4 linked regions of the Oryzias latipes genome follow. The protein of the gene in region 1 interacts with the protein of each later gene in a pairwise test. Links are inferred from orthologs where the notes say so. Each region holds a gene or a part of one and is shown in the gene's direction. Other genes may lie near its edges. The genes, in order: gapdh, peroxiredoxin-1, receptor tyrosine-protein kinase erbB-2 and htt.

The links.
Region 2: the proteins of gapdh (region 1) and peroxiredoxin-1 interact in a two-hybrid assay, tested with the Homo sapiens proteins (2 studies listed by BioGRID and IntAct, with this or other methods). The link is inferred for Oryzias latipes from reciprocal best matches to the Homo sapiens genes GAPDH and PRDX1.
Region 3: the proteins of gapdh (region 1) and receptor tyrosine-protein kinase erbB-2 interact in a protein complementation assay, tested with the Homo sapiens proteins (2 studies listed by BioGRID and IntAct, with this or other methods). The link is inferred for Oryzias latipes from reciprocal best matches to the Homo sapiens genes GAPDH and ERBB2.
Region 4: the proteins of gapdh (region 1) and htt interact in binary tests that used the Homo sapiens proteins (3 or more experiments, as listed by UniProt). The link is inferred for Oryzias latipes from reciprocal best matches to the Homo sapiens genes GAPDH and HTT.

Annotation. Positions count from the first base shown.
Region 1 is NC_019874.2:20,246,372-20,250,426, forward strand, and holds the start of gapdh (glyceraldehyde-3-phosphate dehydrogenase), read left to right. Parts: upstream 1-1,246; 5' UTR 1,247-1,329; intron 1,330-1,625; 5' UTR 1,626-1,651; coding exon 1,652-1,674; intron 1,675-2,686; coding exon 2,687-2,786; intron 2,787-2,868; coding exon 2,869-2,975; intron 2,976-3,057; coding exon 3,058-3,148; intron 3,149-3,246; coding exon 3,247-3,362; intron 3,363-3,443; coding exon 3,444-3,525; intron 3,526-3,615; coding exon 3,616-3,767; intron 3,768-3,845; coding exon 3,846-3,924; intron 3,925-4,055. UniProt on the Homo sapiens protein: Has both glyceraldehyde-3-phosphate dehydrogenase and nitrosylase activities, thereby playing a role in glycolysis and nuclear functions, respectively.
Region 2 is NC_019875.2:16,491,908-16,495,909, reverse strand, and holds the start of peroxiredoxin-1, read left to right. Parts: upstream 1-1,152; 5' UTR 1,153-1,277; intron 1,278-1,550; exon of another isoform or gene 1,551-1,612; intron 1,613-1,996; 5' UTR 1,997-2,007; coding exon 2,008-2,113; intron 2,114-2,208; coding exon 2,209-2,362; intron 2,363-2,449; coding exon 2,450-2,572; intron 2,573-4,002. UniProt on the Homo sapiens protein: Thiol-specific peroxidase that catalyzes the reduction of hydrogen peroxide and organic hydroperoxides to water and alcohols, respectively.
Region 3 is NC_019877.2:7,422,757-7,426,914, reverse strand, and holds the start of receptor tyrosine-protein kinase erbB-2, read left to right. Parts: upstream 1-1,353; 5' UTR 1,354-1,583; coding exon 1,584-1,656; intron 1,657-4,158. UniProt on the Homo sapiens protein: Protein tyrosine kinase that is part of several cell surface receptor complexes, but that apparently needs a coreceptor for ligand binding. Essential component of a neuregulin-receptor complex, although neuregulins do not interact with it alone.
Region 4 is NC_019859.2:35,162,521-35,166,083, reverse strand, and holds part of htt (huntingtin), read left to right. Parts: intron 1-28; coding exon 29-219; intron 220-335; coding exon 336-450; intron 451-1,474; coding exon 1,475-1,688; intron 1,689-2,831; coding exon 2,832-3,039; intron 3,040-3,130; coding exon 3,131-3,293; intron 3,294-3,563.

The DNA of each region.
Region 1 (4,055 bases):
AAGTTTACCACTGATGTTTCTGCAGATGTTTGTAGCGAGTCAGTATGAACACAGAGGACTAACGAGTCCAATTTATGTCATGAAATGTTTCCATGTTTTTCTCTAAAATCAATGCATCAGTTTCGTTCCGACTCAAACGTCGAGGTGCTTGAACTGTTGTGAAACAGACAAAAGAAGATCACCACGAGGCAGCACTTGCAGCACTGAGTATATCATGGATCATGAGTTTGACTCGCTGCAATCTAATCTTAGCTTGACCTTTGCGTCCCTTCTTTGACCTTAAGCTGTAAAGCGGCGGCTGGGACTGGCATGCTTGCACTCGGAGGGGTTGTGATAGTTCAGCTATGCCAGGACCACTGGACGTCTGCCACCAAACCCGCCGTTGCTGCTCAGCTTCAGAGCAGAGAACCGTCTCTGCAGCCTGCTGAAACATGCAGAGGAAATCTAAGCGAGCGTTTGTCGGGTCTGGTCTGCTTGTGCAACACGTGGGGAAAATCTAACACCGTAATCTTGGGAGATCTTTTCTTTCTGATGTCAACATTGTTGACAGAACAGGGAGTCAAAAATAGACTTCGGAAGGCAGCTGGCATGCCTGAGCCTTGTTGTGTTTTGAGACTGGTGAAGAAAGCAAAGATTATTAATCTCTAAAAGATAAAATGTGCTCTTGCAGATTCCTTAGCTGCAGCACTTTCAAGATAAAGTTTTACTATAGAGCCGTTTCCAAATGTCCACACAAAAGTCACAGTTCAGGTGAGCAAACTGACTCCGACAAGTTCCTCTGCACGACTCAAGTTGAGCAACTGAGTTTCAACTTTTGACTTGAGCTGAGGGGATAAAACGGCAGAAAAAGAGGCACGGCAACAGAACCATTCAAGTGAAGGGTCATGGTCTTTGAACATTAAATGTCAGCGTCACTAAGCCAGAGATTTGATCCCCCATTTGCTCTCTCCATGTGTCTGCATTCAGTGAGAAGGTCAGCAGGGACCCCTCTCTTTTTTCAGCTGGAGGATCTAAATCAGGACCTCCAAATGCTTCAGACTAAACTGACAGCACATATTTTGAATTAGAATAAATGCTCTAAAGAGTTAGGACTGTAATTAAAAGTTAAATATGAAGAAGAATTGAAAGGAGCTTGACAAAAATGGGATTTCAGAGCCTGTGTCTGAGCAGCTAACGACCTTGACATTCACAGGGGGCGGGGTGAGGATCGGTGACCATTAAGGGGTGTGGCTTTGTCCTGAGGGGGCCATCATAAATACTCCCAACCAAACTTTGCTCTTCCCCACTCACACCCGGAGTCGCAAGACAGACAGAAGCGTCTCACAAACGGTAAAGGCTTCAGCTGTTTCTGGCAGCATGACTCTTTCATTGAAATCACCTGGAGACAATTGATGCAAAACAGTCACTTTGCTTTGTTTCTGCTTGATTGAAGCTGTTTAGAAAGTTGTAAAGTGTCATGGAGAAGTTGCAGCAATCAAAGTGATCCAAAAAAAAAGGACTTGCATGAATGTTTGAGGCCTTCTGCTCATCTTTCTGCCCAAATGATGTGTGATTTTAAAAAAAATATTTGTTGCATAGATTTCTAAAGGATGTTTTTTTTAAATTGTTATTCTTTAATCTCACAGAGGACTAAAGATCAACCCAGGCTAAAATGGTGAAAGTTGGTATCAATGGGTAAGAGCTTTTTCTCAACACTTCAAGCTCACAATGCCACATTGTTCTTGATGCACTTCAAATATTTCCTTTTTAATCATTTTATTTTTTTAATACATTCCTGGAGTGGTTTTGCAAAACGTTCCCTGAATTGTTTGATTTCTTAAAATAAGGATCTCTTAATGAAACTCTGAATGTTCAGACTAACTTTAGCAGAGTTCCAAGAAACCTTGAGGACACTTGATTTAAAGAACAAGCTCTGGTTTACTAAAGAGTTTTTAATTTTCCCTGGCGATCAAGACGTACATGGAGCTGAAGCAATTGGCATCCAATTTGAAGGTGGTGTGCAACATCTGAAGCAACAAGTGTCCCCTGATGCATTTGAACAAACCTTTGCGCCATCTGGATGTTTTTTGTTTTCTCTCAATCTCTGAACTTTGGCCTTTTGGTAGAAAACTTTGAGTTTGTTTCACCCCTTCAACTGGACAGACGTTTTCTTCTACTCTTGGAATTGAGTAGAAATGAAGCTGAATATCTCATTGGATATTGAACTATCACAATCCTGAATCTTTAGTGTTATCTGCCAGTCCTGCTGGCCTCTGTTTTAGACCAGGTTTTCAGGACTGTGGTTAAAAAGTAACCCGACCATTGATCAAACCGCAGCTGTGGCGTCATCAGGATTAACACACTGGCGGTTCTTCTGACTTTTGCCCCCAGAAAGGGGCGTGTGAGCATTTGAGCGGCATGCAGCCCCTCCTCATGAGCTCTGCCCTTTATCTGACTGCAGATTCATGTCTCCTGGGATGTTATGCATAAGCCAACGTGAAGGAAGGAAACAAAATGGGGTTCTTTCAGTGAACCGCGTTTGCTCGGGTTCACCTGAAAGTCAGCACTAGCGTCCCTTACTGAATGATTTCAGGTTATTAGGCATTGGCCCCTTTATGTCACTGCCACTCAGACATAACTGCACAGATTAGATGGCCTCAGGACGCCATCTAGAGGCCAGACTGATACTTGTCCTTCCACATTTCAGTTTTGGCCGTATCGGCCGTCTGGTGACCCGAGCTGCTTTCACCTCTAAAAAGGTGGAGATTGTGGCCATCAATGACCCGTTCATTGACCTGGACTACATGGTGAGTGAAAGACATTAAGTCTTAAATTAAATGGGGGGGGGGGGGGGGGGAGATCTTGTATTCAAGTTATTTTTGTTTTAAGGTCTACATGTTCAAGTATGACTCCACCCACAACCGCTTCAAGGGTGAGGTCAAGGCTGAGGGAGGCAAACTAGTCATTGATGGACACCAGATCACCGTCTTCCATGAGTGAGTTAATGTGCCAGTATTTAATAATCAGTGATTACTTTTTAGGACGACTAAAAGAAAGTGATTGGATTTTTCTTTGCAGGAGGGACCCTACTAACATTAAATGGGGTGAGGCCGGTGCCCAGTATGTTGTGGAGTCCACCGGTGTGTTTACTACCATTGAGAAGGCCTCTGTATGTATGCTCCCCTCTGGATATCATGATTTTTATTTATTTATTTATTTTTGGATCAAGCAAATGCGGAATAATCCTCTTTAAATCCCAAAATGCAGGCTCACTTGAAGGGCGGTGCCAAGAGAGTTATCATCTCTGCACCCAGCGCAGATGCCCCCATGTTCGTCATGGGAGTCAACCACGAGAAGTACGACAACTCTCTCACGGTTGTCAGGTAAGATGACTTTTAATCTACAAAAGGACCGTCCATTTTTGGATCTTACAGCTCTGACGCCAATGTTTCTGCTTTTCAAAGCAATGCGTCCTGCACAACAAACTGTCTGGCCCCCTTGGCCAAAGTCGTCCACGACAACTTCGGCATTGTTGAGGGCCTGATGGTGAGAGCAGACGCTCCATTAAACGATTTTTGCTGCTGAATGTTCAGACTCATTGAACCCACCTCCCTTTTTGTCTTGGTCTCTCTTCAGAGCACAGTTCATGCCATCACTGCCACCCAGAAGACTGTGGACGGACCCTCTGGTAAGCTGTGGAGGGACGGCCGTGGTGCCAGCCAGAACATCATCCCCGCCTCTACCGGAGCTGCCAAGGCTGTGGGAAAAGTCATCCCCGAGCTGAACGGGTGAGTCCTCAGTGGGTTTTTTAATATTACAGCATACATGCTGTCAGGGTCTTAATTAAACACTTAAAATTTCTACAGCAAACTGACCGGCATGGCCTTCCGTGTGCCCACTCCCAATGTGTCGGTGGTTGATCTCACAGTCCGCCTGGAAAAACCAGTGAGTGACCACAAATCCTTTTATTTTTCCTTCATATGGATTTATTATTATTATCCATATTATTATCACCAGGGATTAAGATGGAATCTCTTAATAAAATTAATCTGCAAAACTGTACAGTTTCTCAGATT
Region 2 (4,002 bases), on another chromosome or scaffold:
ATGCAGGCCAGCGTTTGATCACTGGCTCAGAGTGCTGCTTCTAAAGGGGGTTATTGTGTTTCTCCCTCCAGTCTGGTCCTTGAAGTAGCGCTATGGCAACAGCCTGCAAAGATGCAGCTTGATTATAGCTGAAGACGGAGGGATGCTTCTGCCATGACAGAGAAAATACACAGAAGAACTCTTTCCAACTTTATATACACTATTGTTTACTCTACTGTGTGTAGTCTTATTATTATTATTGTTTGACCTCCATTGAGTTGTTTCCCCCTTTTGAGATAATATCAATCATGAGATCTGTGGTCATATGAACATTAAGTTAGAGTAAATGAGATCAGCTTCTGGGCAAAACAGAGAAATCTGAACGTTAGCATTTCACAATTCATACGCATCATCGCTCTAGGTGTGAGAAAATCACTAAAAGTGAGGTATCTAAATAAAGAACTAGACATAGGTTAATCATTTGACAAGACTGAATGATTCACATGAAGAGCAACCACTTAAGGATTATGCAGATCTATTTTTGTTAAACAGAAGACATTTTGTTGTTTTTCTTTACCTTTTTTGCTTTTATTTAAGCGTTTAGGGCTTGTAATTAAACAACAAGAAACCTCTTTCTGTGCGAGACAGTGTGTACATTATGTGTTCTGTTCCTTCCAGTAAATATTACAGAGGAGAGGAAAGCAGGAAATGAAAAAGATAAATGACTTTGGCAGCAATCTGGATAAGCACACAGTGTTGCAATAAAGTGTTTGAAGGAAGGGAGTGAGATTTTCCAGAAACTGCTTAAGAAAATATAATATCGTTGGCAAGAGAAATGCAGCTTAAAATACCCTGGTTGAAATATAACGTCTACAAGACTTTTCCATACCGGGAGTTTTTTTGTAAGGGCATGGCCAAAGTAGAAAAAAAGGAGAGGAAGAGTTTAAGAAATATGGATAAACGAAATGTATACTTGACAAAAGTTATGAGAAAAATTGAGAAAGCTACCAAACGCTGTTTTTCCCCTCGTCTGTGTTTTTAAAACAAATTAATGGCTTCATAAACTAGAGATGTTAGAAAAAAAGAGGCATCTCTCTAGCTTCCTTTTCATGAAATAGCAGTTAAAAAGTGCAGAGTCATGCTGAATGCTTCATTTCTGGAAATAGGGATCAAGGAAAGGTTCTGTTCTTGTTCGGTCGATGTTATCGCGAGATTTCTGGGCTTTATAAAACCTCCTGATAGCGCACTCGAGCCCGCACGTTCGCTTCTGACAGTTGGTGTGGCGTGATCGCTAAGAGGTGAGTACCATAATGCCTTCATCTTACCACCCCCCCCCCCCCCTCTCGTTTACTTGTGTTTTTAAAGGTTTTTTTTTTTTTCATACAGTTAAACCCGGAAGTTTTCAGTTCAACAAGTGTCTGTTTATTTCCGTTCGGGATTTGATTTCGTGTGGAAAATCAAATAACCAGATTTTTTATAACTTTTATTTCCCCATATTATATTAAATGAATTGGGTCTTAAGACTAACACTTTTGGGCCTCTAAACGTTTTCTTTCTTTCTTTTTTTTAAGCGTTGTGGGGCGTGAAAACCTCTCTGTTCCCCAAAACGGGGCGATCTTCTTTCCCACCAAAAGTAAAACATTTAACTTTGTCTCCCACATGCGGAAATGTAAACTAAAAGAGGCGCTCGTAAGCTGTAATAAATACTAGTTTAAGTGGACACTGTCTAAATAACATTCCAACTCTTTTTCAAACCATTCTCTCATTTGACGCTTTTATTTTGAAAAACCCACTTCATTGATCCAGTTCATTATTTTGACTTTTGTATCATGTTCTTTCTAAATGTTGTTATATTTCACGTATCCAGTTGATTATGCATTACGTTAAAACTCTTAAAACTACTACTCTTACTACTTCCTCTTTCATGGATGCATAGATTCGTGCTTTTTGTCTGGCAAACGAGGAAGGCTTTTTTTTTTTTTTTTATTTAATCCCACTTCCTCCTTCTGTATTTCAGTAAGGACAAACATGGCAGCAGGAAAGGCAAAGATTGGAAGCCTGGCCCCAGACTTTACAGCTAAGGCTGTGATGCCTGACGGCCAGTTCAAAGACCTGAAGCTGTCAGATTATAGAGGTAAAAGCCTCAGTCTATCTTGTAAACAATAATTAAGGCAGCGCAAGAGCACTAATACCTTATATTTTATTTTTCCTGTTTCACTCTTCCTACAGGAAAGTATGTCGTTTTTTTCTTCTATCCTCTGGACTTCACCTTTGTGTGTCCCACTGAGATCATCGCCTTCAGCGACGCTGCTGACGACTTCAGGAAGATTGGCTGTGAAGTCATCGCTGCCTCTGTGGACTCTCACTTTTCTCATTTTGCATGGTACTTTCAGATTTTTAACATAATACCTTGTGCTTCAACTTTTGCAAATAGTTGAAATCAATTTTTCTTTTTGTTTTGGTTTGAAAGGACAAACACACCACGGAAACAAGGCGGTCTGGGTTCAATGAAGATCCCCCTGGTGTCTGACACGCGCCGCACCATTTCCACAGATTATGGGGTCCTGAAAGAAGATGAAGGCATTGCTTACAGGTGACACAACAGAGTTTTTTTTATTTTTTTCTATTTGCACATCCCTAAATTAGACCTTAAAGTGTGGATGCCATGCTTTGAACAACTTTGTCAAATAAAAAAGCCCTTTAAACGCTGATTCTATTGATACCAATAGTTCGCGTCGAAAAAAATCCGAAGCATATGAATAATAGACATCTTTCGAAGGAATCAGAGATTTGGATCTGCCGCTAGAGCGCAGGCTGGAAGTGAACCCGATATGACCTGTGACGTCATGAAAGGCGTTGATTTTCGCAGTTCCGCTTCGGACAGCATGTAAACAAAACCGGTAGTCTTCGTTTCTCTCGTGTTTAAATCTGTTAATCATCAACATGCCAAGTCGTTGTGTGGCAGCTGGATGTAGCAATACATCTACTGAAAGTGTATCTGTGTATAAAATTCCCAAACAAGAAACGCTGCTGAAAAGGGGAAAGTTCAAGAAGGTGGACGGCGAAGGATTTTTCCCTCCAGATCTGCAGGAGAGAAGTCTGCGTTTTCGAAGGGACAAAAACCGGGACACAAACGAAGAATTTTGAACGGAGAGTTGGGAGGAGGATCTTGGCTTCTGAGTCGAGGAAAGGCGGGTGAGCTGGAAGCGAGCGAGCCGTTTTCTGGGTCGGAGAGGACGGCGCTGGAGTCGGGAGCGGAGGCTGCTAAGCTAGTGTGCATCACGATGGATCACATTGAGGCGAAGTAGTCGTGTTTTCTGTTGTCCTTGGATCCAACTGGAGTATTTCAACGCACTCAATGTTTTGCAAGAGAAGCAACAGGCCTGCAACGTTTTTTTTCTTTTGCTTTTGAGGTGCCGGTACCATGAGTAAACTAAACTGTGTGTGTGTGAGCGCGCGCGCGCGCACGAGAAAAGGTTTCAAACGGGTTCAAACGGGTAAAACTGTTAATGTTCCACAGTTGTTAATGGTATACAGTGACTTTGTTAACTAAAGAGTAGTAATATCTGGGAAACTTTTATTTTGTGACATTTATTTTGTAAATTGGGTTGAAAACCAGTGTTTACCTTTGTTTAGATTAGGCCAAAAGGGGACATTTTGAGTATATTTTAGGGTAAGTGGAGTAATTTAATTTTATACATTTTTTAGACTTGCTGGAGTCTAGCCGAATCTTCATGCTGGCTATCGTCATGATCGGCATGATCACTAGACCTACTACTTTCTGCTATATCCTCCTCACTTTCGCAAAAGGGTTCGAATCGATACGGTTGCAAAAGTGACTCATCATCATGATAATCTCCGCAACTTTCCTCTTCATCTTTCTGTTCATCTGATGATAAATCGCTAATAGAGACGGTAGCATCACTCTGTGCTTCGCTATCGGTGCTAGCCATGTTGTCTGCCTTGTCTTCCTTTCGTTACGTCACAAACAGGGCGGCGCGAATTCGGCGGAATGCGTGAAGC
Region 3 (4,158 bases), on another chromosome or scaffold:
ATTAAACAGATGCACTGCAAAAATATCCCCTATAATTTAAGTTTAGTCTTTAGTTTTTAATATTTTATGATTCTGGTCTTTAGGATGATTCTATAGAGGGGTAGTTGGACTGTTATAGCTGTTAAAATGTGATATATTTGGGGGAAAGGTGTGCAAACATACCCACTTTAAAGATTTAAAACCCTTATTTTGGCAATACCTTGTCATTTAAATGCAATATTTCCTATTACCAGTGAAATATACATAAACAATTTGTCTTAAAAGGTTATTACATCACAATTTATTTTAAGAAATTTTACCAAAACAAGTTCTTCTAGTTCCAATGTCAAATTTGTTTTCCCTTATAACAAGAAAAGAACTTCTACTTTTCTGTATTTTCAACTTGTTTAGAGATACATTTTTTTCTTCCATTGCTTGCCCACTGAAGATTTCTTTAAATTTGTTCCAGAAGTCATTATGAAAGTTTAGCCACTCTAGTGAATCAGTAAATGGTGAGATACAGAGATGTATGAGTCTATGCACTTGGGGAAAGTTTGGAAATAGAGCAGGAAAATTGTATTGTGTGCGTGTCTGTGTGTAAATACATATATGTGGGGGGGTTTTTTGGACAAAGCACAAGAAATGTTAGCCCCCAATAGACTGAAAACAAAAAGGATAACAAGCCTGAGAACATCTCACAGGATCAAGCATCTCCTTGAGATGCTACTGCTAAATCCTCCATAAACAACAATAATTACAACATAATCCAACATCTTGAAGTTTGTTGACAAAGACAGTCTGATCTAATTTTTTGGTATTTCTTGTATCATGGAAAATTTGGAGAAAAAAAAGTCCTGAAATATTGACTATTTCCCATATGTTATGATTTAAATTCAAATAAATTTAAAAATCTGCATTTGATACCTTCTGGGATTCTGGGGTGCCAGGAAGATCTACCATTGAAAATGCAAGGTGCCAAGTTGGTGAAGGTAGTAGTATTATGGTGTGGAAGTTTTTATTTTATTTTGTTGTTCCAACAAAAATGATTTTTAAACACTTCAGCACATTTTTATTTTAGAGAACTTTAAGTTCTTTTGGCAGTGTTCTAACATGATGCTCAAAGCTACAGCCTCATAAAGATGAGCGTTTAGAACACTTTTCAGATACATTTCAGTTGGAAAAAAAACATGTTTGAGTAGGATACATAAATTTGACCAATAAATAAATAAACATATATATATTTGTATGACAGAAGGAATCCATGCATTACAGTCTTTAATGTCACATTGATAAGCGTGTAGTGAGTTTGAGGTCTGCAGACAGAAATCTGTGATTGTGGGCGGAGTCAGAGTGCCACTCCTCGCGCAGGCCTTCACGGGAGCGCGCTTGTCACACTGTTACTACCAACAGTCCGAGTTCGGAAGTCTCCGTGGATAGGAAGAAGGGCAGCAATTTCACTAAGGGAGTCGAGATTAAAGCTGCTATTATTTTAAGGTCTAATATTTTAAGAAGGAAAAGACCTATTGTGTTTTTTTTGTCGGCTACAACGAATATTAGACAGACCTAACTCTGGAATATGGACTAAACGCGCCGGGTGCGAGCAGATGGAAGCCGCGAGAAGTTTGGTGTTTATCGGAGCCGTTCTGCTCGGAGTGCCGGGCGTTTTGGGCGGAGAAGGTGGGTGACTTTTGTCGTCTTTTGCGCTCTCACGGTTTGGGAACGCGGACATACTAGACCCCGTTCGAGTTGTGTTCGTGTGGACGTGAAGTGTGAAGTCGACGCGGGTTCCTGCATTCCTCGTACGTGATTTCGTCCTCCCTGCGGAGATTCATGGGAGTTATGGAGCGCAGATAAGGACAAAATTCCCACCTGTCAAAAAGTAGCTTCGCTAAAAGCTTTCAGTTTGAATTTCAATTACAAACTTACACTAAATTGAATAAAGAGAGTTAAAGCCACATAGTTGGGCAATAAACTCGAGAACTGGTGTTGAGATGCAGCAGAGCAGTGTTGGTAAACAACAAACAAACAAACAAACAAAAGCTCTGTGTGCAGAAGATCATCATGACTATGTCAATTATTCACTTCTGGCTCCTAAGGGGACATTGTCTGATAGAGGGCCACTTATCACACTTGGAGCTTGGAGTGCATGCCAGTAAAGTAAGAGCTAACTAACTGAAAGTGCAAATAAGAGCAAATTTGCAAAATGCAAATCAAGATTTCTTTTGTTTAAAGCCAAACCTGAGGAGTTTTTGGATTTCTTCATGTTGCAGAAAGTAGCACCGCTCTAAACTATTTGTTTCATTGTTTTTCACATTTCATATACCAATTATATAAAGTCGAAGAAAAGGAGTCAGATTTGAAAAACTCCAATATCATTTTTTATTTCTGCAAGAAAACCACAGTTTTCATGATTATTATTATGAACTAGTTTAATATCTGTTCTAGGAGGATTTAGCAATATCAATAAACATGTAAAACCTTTGCACAGACTGAGACTATGTGCAGACTTTATTAAATTGCCAGTTTTTGGGGTTAAAAACAACAAAAAGAGCCATGAATTTTTTTTTTTGGACTTTGATTACCAATTTCCAGCTCAATTAAGTTGAAAGACGAAATCCTTAGAGCACAAACAATACTCCTGTTTTATTAGCTGCCCCCGAAGCACTACCACTAATCGGACACACGCAGGAACAAAGCCAGTAGTCACAGGTGAAGTCATTTCTGAACGCGACAGCATTGTTGGGGGGAACAGGTTGGTGCACTTTAGTCTGCAGTGTTGATCTCTGAAGCATCGGACCTGTGCCGGAGTGCTCTGACTGGTTCCCAGAGTTAAGCAACATGTTATGCCCAAGTGTTGACTTCCAGCCTTCTTACTTTCATTTGTTATGTCACTCACACGTGTGCACAGCCCCTCTATGCAGGATCCTTGGTGTGAGGCGATTGCCTCAGTGGACGCACAGTTCACGCCCTTGTCATATTTTAGCGCACCTCAAGGCAAAGTCTATTTGAATTGACGCTAGTTGCAGGTTAACTCTGCCCGTCTAGACTGTTAGTGACCTGACCCACTCTGACTGAGATCAGGATGGTCGTTCTCTAAAAAGGCTCCGCTCACCCTCATGTTTTTCAGAGGAACGTCCGTTTTTTGGCAATAAAAAACTTTTAATTCAACCAATCAAGCATCTTATTGTTTTAATATTATTTTGCATCTTAACCTGGGCATTTAACACTAAGACACTATCATTTTTTTCATGTAAACCTTTTAAAGGCTGTGTTTGAAGATCAATTTGTTTCAATTAAAAAGACAATTCAAAAATATGAAATTCCTCGATTTAATTCTTTTTATAAGAATGTATCACAAATTATCTGGAAAAATGTATCAAATTTATTCGTTTCTATTGTGAGATTTCACAATATTATGATCAAAGGTTTTACTTTTGGTCACTTCATCACTAAACAACTTATTTTAAAACAAAAATTTGACCAGTAAAATGACATTTAATCAATTGTAATGAATCCTATCAAAATTTAGAATTTCTTATCAAAGACTTTACCAATAATCACACTAAAGTTCTCACTTCAGCTCAGGTTATATCTAAAATGCTTTTTTACTTGGAGGGAGATTTGTCTATATTATATGTTGTCATTATTTGTATAAAATGCTCAAATTGCCCTTACCCTACATAAAATGTTTGCATGTCAGTGTTATTTTATTGCATGTATGCAAAATGTGCGTGTGTGTGTTTTTTTTTTAAAGATTTTGTGCATGAATGGTTTCCCATAAGCTCAACTCTCATGTTCAGACCCGGCATTGGAGCAGCTAAATTTAAAAAGAGGACTGTGATGCGTTCACTAATAATAGTCAGTGGTGTGGATGCTTCATAAATATCTTGAAGGCTTGAAGCTCTTGGGTCTCTCCTTGTTGTCTTCATATAGATCCAAAGGTTAAAAAATATCATATTTATATGACTTTGATGCACATTTTTATGCCTTCAGTTTCCCAAAATATTGTCGGTCTGTAGGAATTTATTTGTTCTTTTGACCTGGAACTGAATTTCTATGATACACAGTACTCAGAAATCTGTCAAATTGTTTTAGCTCAATGTTGGTAAACTACATTGACTGTAGGTCTGCATGATATGAGGAAAACTTGCAATATTAGTATTCAATATTGTGATGACG
Region 4 (3,563 bases), on another chromosome or scaffold:
AAGATGACGTTAAAATGTCCCTCTGTAGGACAAAGCGATCGCTGAGCCTGTTTGCCGCCTGCTGGAGACCACCCTGCGCAGCACCCACCTGCCCAGCCGCATGGGGGCCCTGCACGGCGTGCTGTACGTGCTGGAGTGCGACCTGCTGGACGACACCGCCAAGCAGCTCATACCTACAGTGTCGGAGTATCTTCTGTCGAACCTCAGGGCCATTGCTCAGTGAGCGCCTTCCTCCTTTTGAACAGATTCTGTCAAAGCCTCTGGGAGCCGATAGTCATGAGGAAACGGAAACGAGGGGGTCGTGTCTGATTCCGCCTGCTGTTTCTGTTTTGCAGTTGTGTGAACTTGCACAACCAGCAGCATGTGTTGGTGATGTGTGCAGTGGCCTTCTACATGATGGAGAACTACCCGTTGGACGTCGGACCAGAGTTTGTGGCTGCAGTTATCCAGGTAATGCGGTTCTGTGGGGAACCGCTGGGGTTCTGTTGATGCCTCAGAGTGACTGGAAACTGTTCACATCCCTGTGGATCAGAATGTTTCTGTTGTTGCTGCTGTGAAGGGAGGGACGGTTTTCTACCACATGTCTGACGTGTCACTCATTCAGACCGTGAGGTCACTGTGGATGCAAGAACTCACTGATGAAACCAAGTCAGCTGAGCACAGGGGAACCTCATTTAACGCAGAATTTAGGTCCTGAAATTGACTCCACAAAATCCACCAATTCATGGCAGTCAAACCGTCCCAAAAAAAAAAAAAAAAATGTGGCCACAATCTTTTATGGGGATCAAACAAATATTTCAAAATCCACCAATGAAACCAAATCCCCATGATGGGATACCCAAAGGAAGTTTTGAAACTATTATGGGATGGCCATAGGACCAACGGTTTGGCGGCCATTTTGTGGTAAAGTGCGAAATTCGGCGTTTTCCCACGATATGGGAAAATAATTTTGGTTTTAACCGGCTTAAGTTTACGACCTCAATCAAAGTCTTGTTGACCTTTAAACTCGCAATTTGGTGGAATTTTCCACCAAAACCACCAAACGGTGAGCTGTGTCTGCAGCTCACCGTTCCCTCAGGGGAGGGGTCAAATGCGGAGTGCAAATTTCGCACAGCTAGGTGCATGACAGATGGTGGGACTTTGACTTTAACCTTCCCCCCCACAAAAAAAGATACATCCTTAGTACCAGCTACACGTCTACACTGCTAGGGGTTTGGATTTATCGTCTTCTAACCACTCTAGCATTTTGGGAAGAACGTTGGTTTTAAAAGTTGTCGATTTTCAACGGCGTTAGCCTGGCGAGCTAGCAAAACTGTTGCAATGAAATGGGAATGATGTTTTTGGTTGTTTTGCTATTGCTTTATATACCGCAAATTATACCGTTATCGCAATATTAATCTCAAATATCGCGATTTTTCCTCATATCGTGCAGCCCTAGCTAAAACAAATGCACGTGTCCTTGTGTCCCTGTCAGTTGTGTGGGGTCATGGTGTCGGCCAGCGAAGACTGCACGCCCTCCATCATCTACCACTGCGTGCTGCGCGGGCTAGAGCGCCTCCTGCTGTCGGAGCAGTTGTCCCGCATGGACGGAGAGGCGCTGGTGAAGCTCAGCGTGGACCGCGTCAACGCGTCGTCGCCGCACAGAGCCATGGCCGCCCTGGGCCTCATGCTCACCTGCATGTACACCGGTAAACTGCCGTCTGCCAGCCCTGACGCTGCGCGCCGGTGGAAACGCCGGCTGGTGACTGGTGCTGCTGCAACTCACCTTAACGCTCACCTGCATGAACATCCGCTAACCCCTCAGCGCACCGCGCTCTGTGTTTGTAAAGTCCTCCATCCTTCACCCCAGCTATGATCAGCTACAGAGGACGCTTGTAGACAGCAAATGTTCAAAATGAGTGACCGTGTTTGTCTGTAGATCTGCAGGTAAACTTGCACCCACACTCTCCGGTGGTCAGGTGGGGCTGCTGATGGTCCTCAGCTTAAACCTCCAACGAGACGAGGAGCACTTTGCTTTAAAATGACCTCCTCAGAAGAAGAACTTGGTGGAAGGGTGCAAGCCGTCTCACTTTACCTGGTAGCCCCTTTTTCCAAACCTCACTGCCCAAAGGTCAAAGAGAAGGGCAGAGGGGTAGATCAGGCCTTAGAAAAAAAGACGAGTGTCGTGCAGCAGACACACTGATTGTTCCAACGGGATAAACGCCGTTACACTGACACTGTGTCCTTCCCAACACCGGTGCTGAAAAGGCCGGTAGATTTGTGGGCATCGCTCCGATTTCAGCATCGGGAAAACGAATCCCAAACTTTGGTGCTGAGAAGAACGGACTCGCAGGATGTGCAGCCGCTGCACATCCTGCGTTTCTTCTCCAACGGCTGCTTCAATAACTGTTTACCTGTCTTCCAAGTGGAAGTGCAGGTGATTGAAATGTTCTCCGTTTATTTGGCCGTTTGAGTAAACACTGAAACTCTCTAAGGCGTGTCATCGCTCAACACGTGTGTTTGTGCGTTCATGTTTGTCGCCTGCTGTTGTTTCCTTCAGTGCACCCTACCTCTAACCCTAACAACGGCCTTTACTAACCCCAACTGCCCCCCAGCCCGTCTTTCTGCCAGCAAGAGTTGGCCAGCAGTTTCTGCTCTGTGGCGCTCAACGTGCACGTAGAAGCGCGTTTGAGGCTGCAGAGCAGGCTGGGAGGCCCTTTTATTTCCAGCACCAGTCCCAAAAAACCACAAAATTCTAATATGACTGCTGTGATGAGTGTCCTGACCCCCACTCTAACCTGTACACGCTCCACCGGTGCCGCCGGTGCCACCCACCCCTCTGGTCTTCTCAGCGGTGCTTACGTCGGGCTCAGATGGGGTTAGAGGTCAGGTTGACTCTGCTGTAGCGGAGGCGGCGGCCGTCATGGAGGGTCATGTTGGTTTCTCCTTAGGCAAGGAGAAAGCCAGCCCCGCCAGCAGGCCTGCCCACCCCGACCCGCAGGCCCCAGACAGCGAGTCCATCATCGTGGCCATGGAGCGGGTCTCCGTGCTCTTCGACAGGTACGCAAGCAGACGTGCACGGCCGCAGATCGCCCTCACGCCCGTCCGCTCGTCACTTCTGCTCACGAGACGGCTTTTCCTGTCGCTGCAGGATCAGGAAGGGTTTTCCCAGTGAGGCCCGGGTGGTGTCCAGGATTCTGCCCCAGTTTCTGGACGATTTCTTCCCTCCACAGGACATCATGAACAAGGTCATCGGAGAGTTCCTGTCCAACCAGCAGCCTTACCCACAATTCATGGCCACCGTGGTCTACAGGGTCAGTATCAGAATGCATTTACAGCTGAGGTCCCGCTGATGTACGGCGGCTAAATTCACCGCTTCCTCCGAAGGATTTGACCCGAAAATCTCTGACATCACCAAAAACATCTAATAGAGAAAGGGAGGCCTGAGGTGGGATGGGCTGGAGTTTGCTCCTCCCACCTTGTGGTGTTCCAAAAATTGGCAAAAACTAAAATGATCTCTGCTTATCCAAACATGCGTACAGACTATAATGCTGGGGCGGGGCCCCTGGTTGGTACCTGCACCG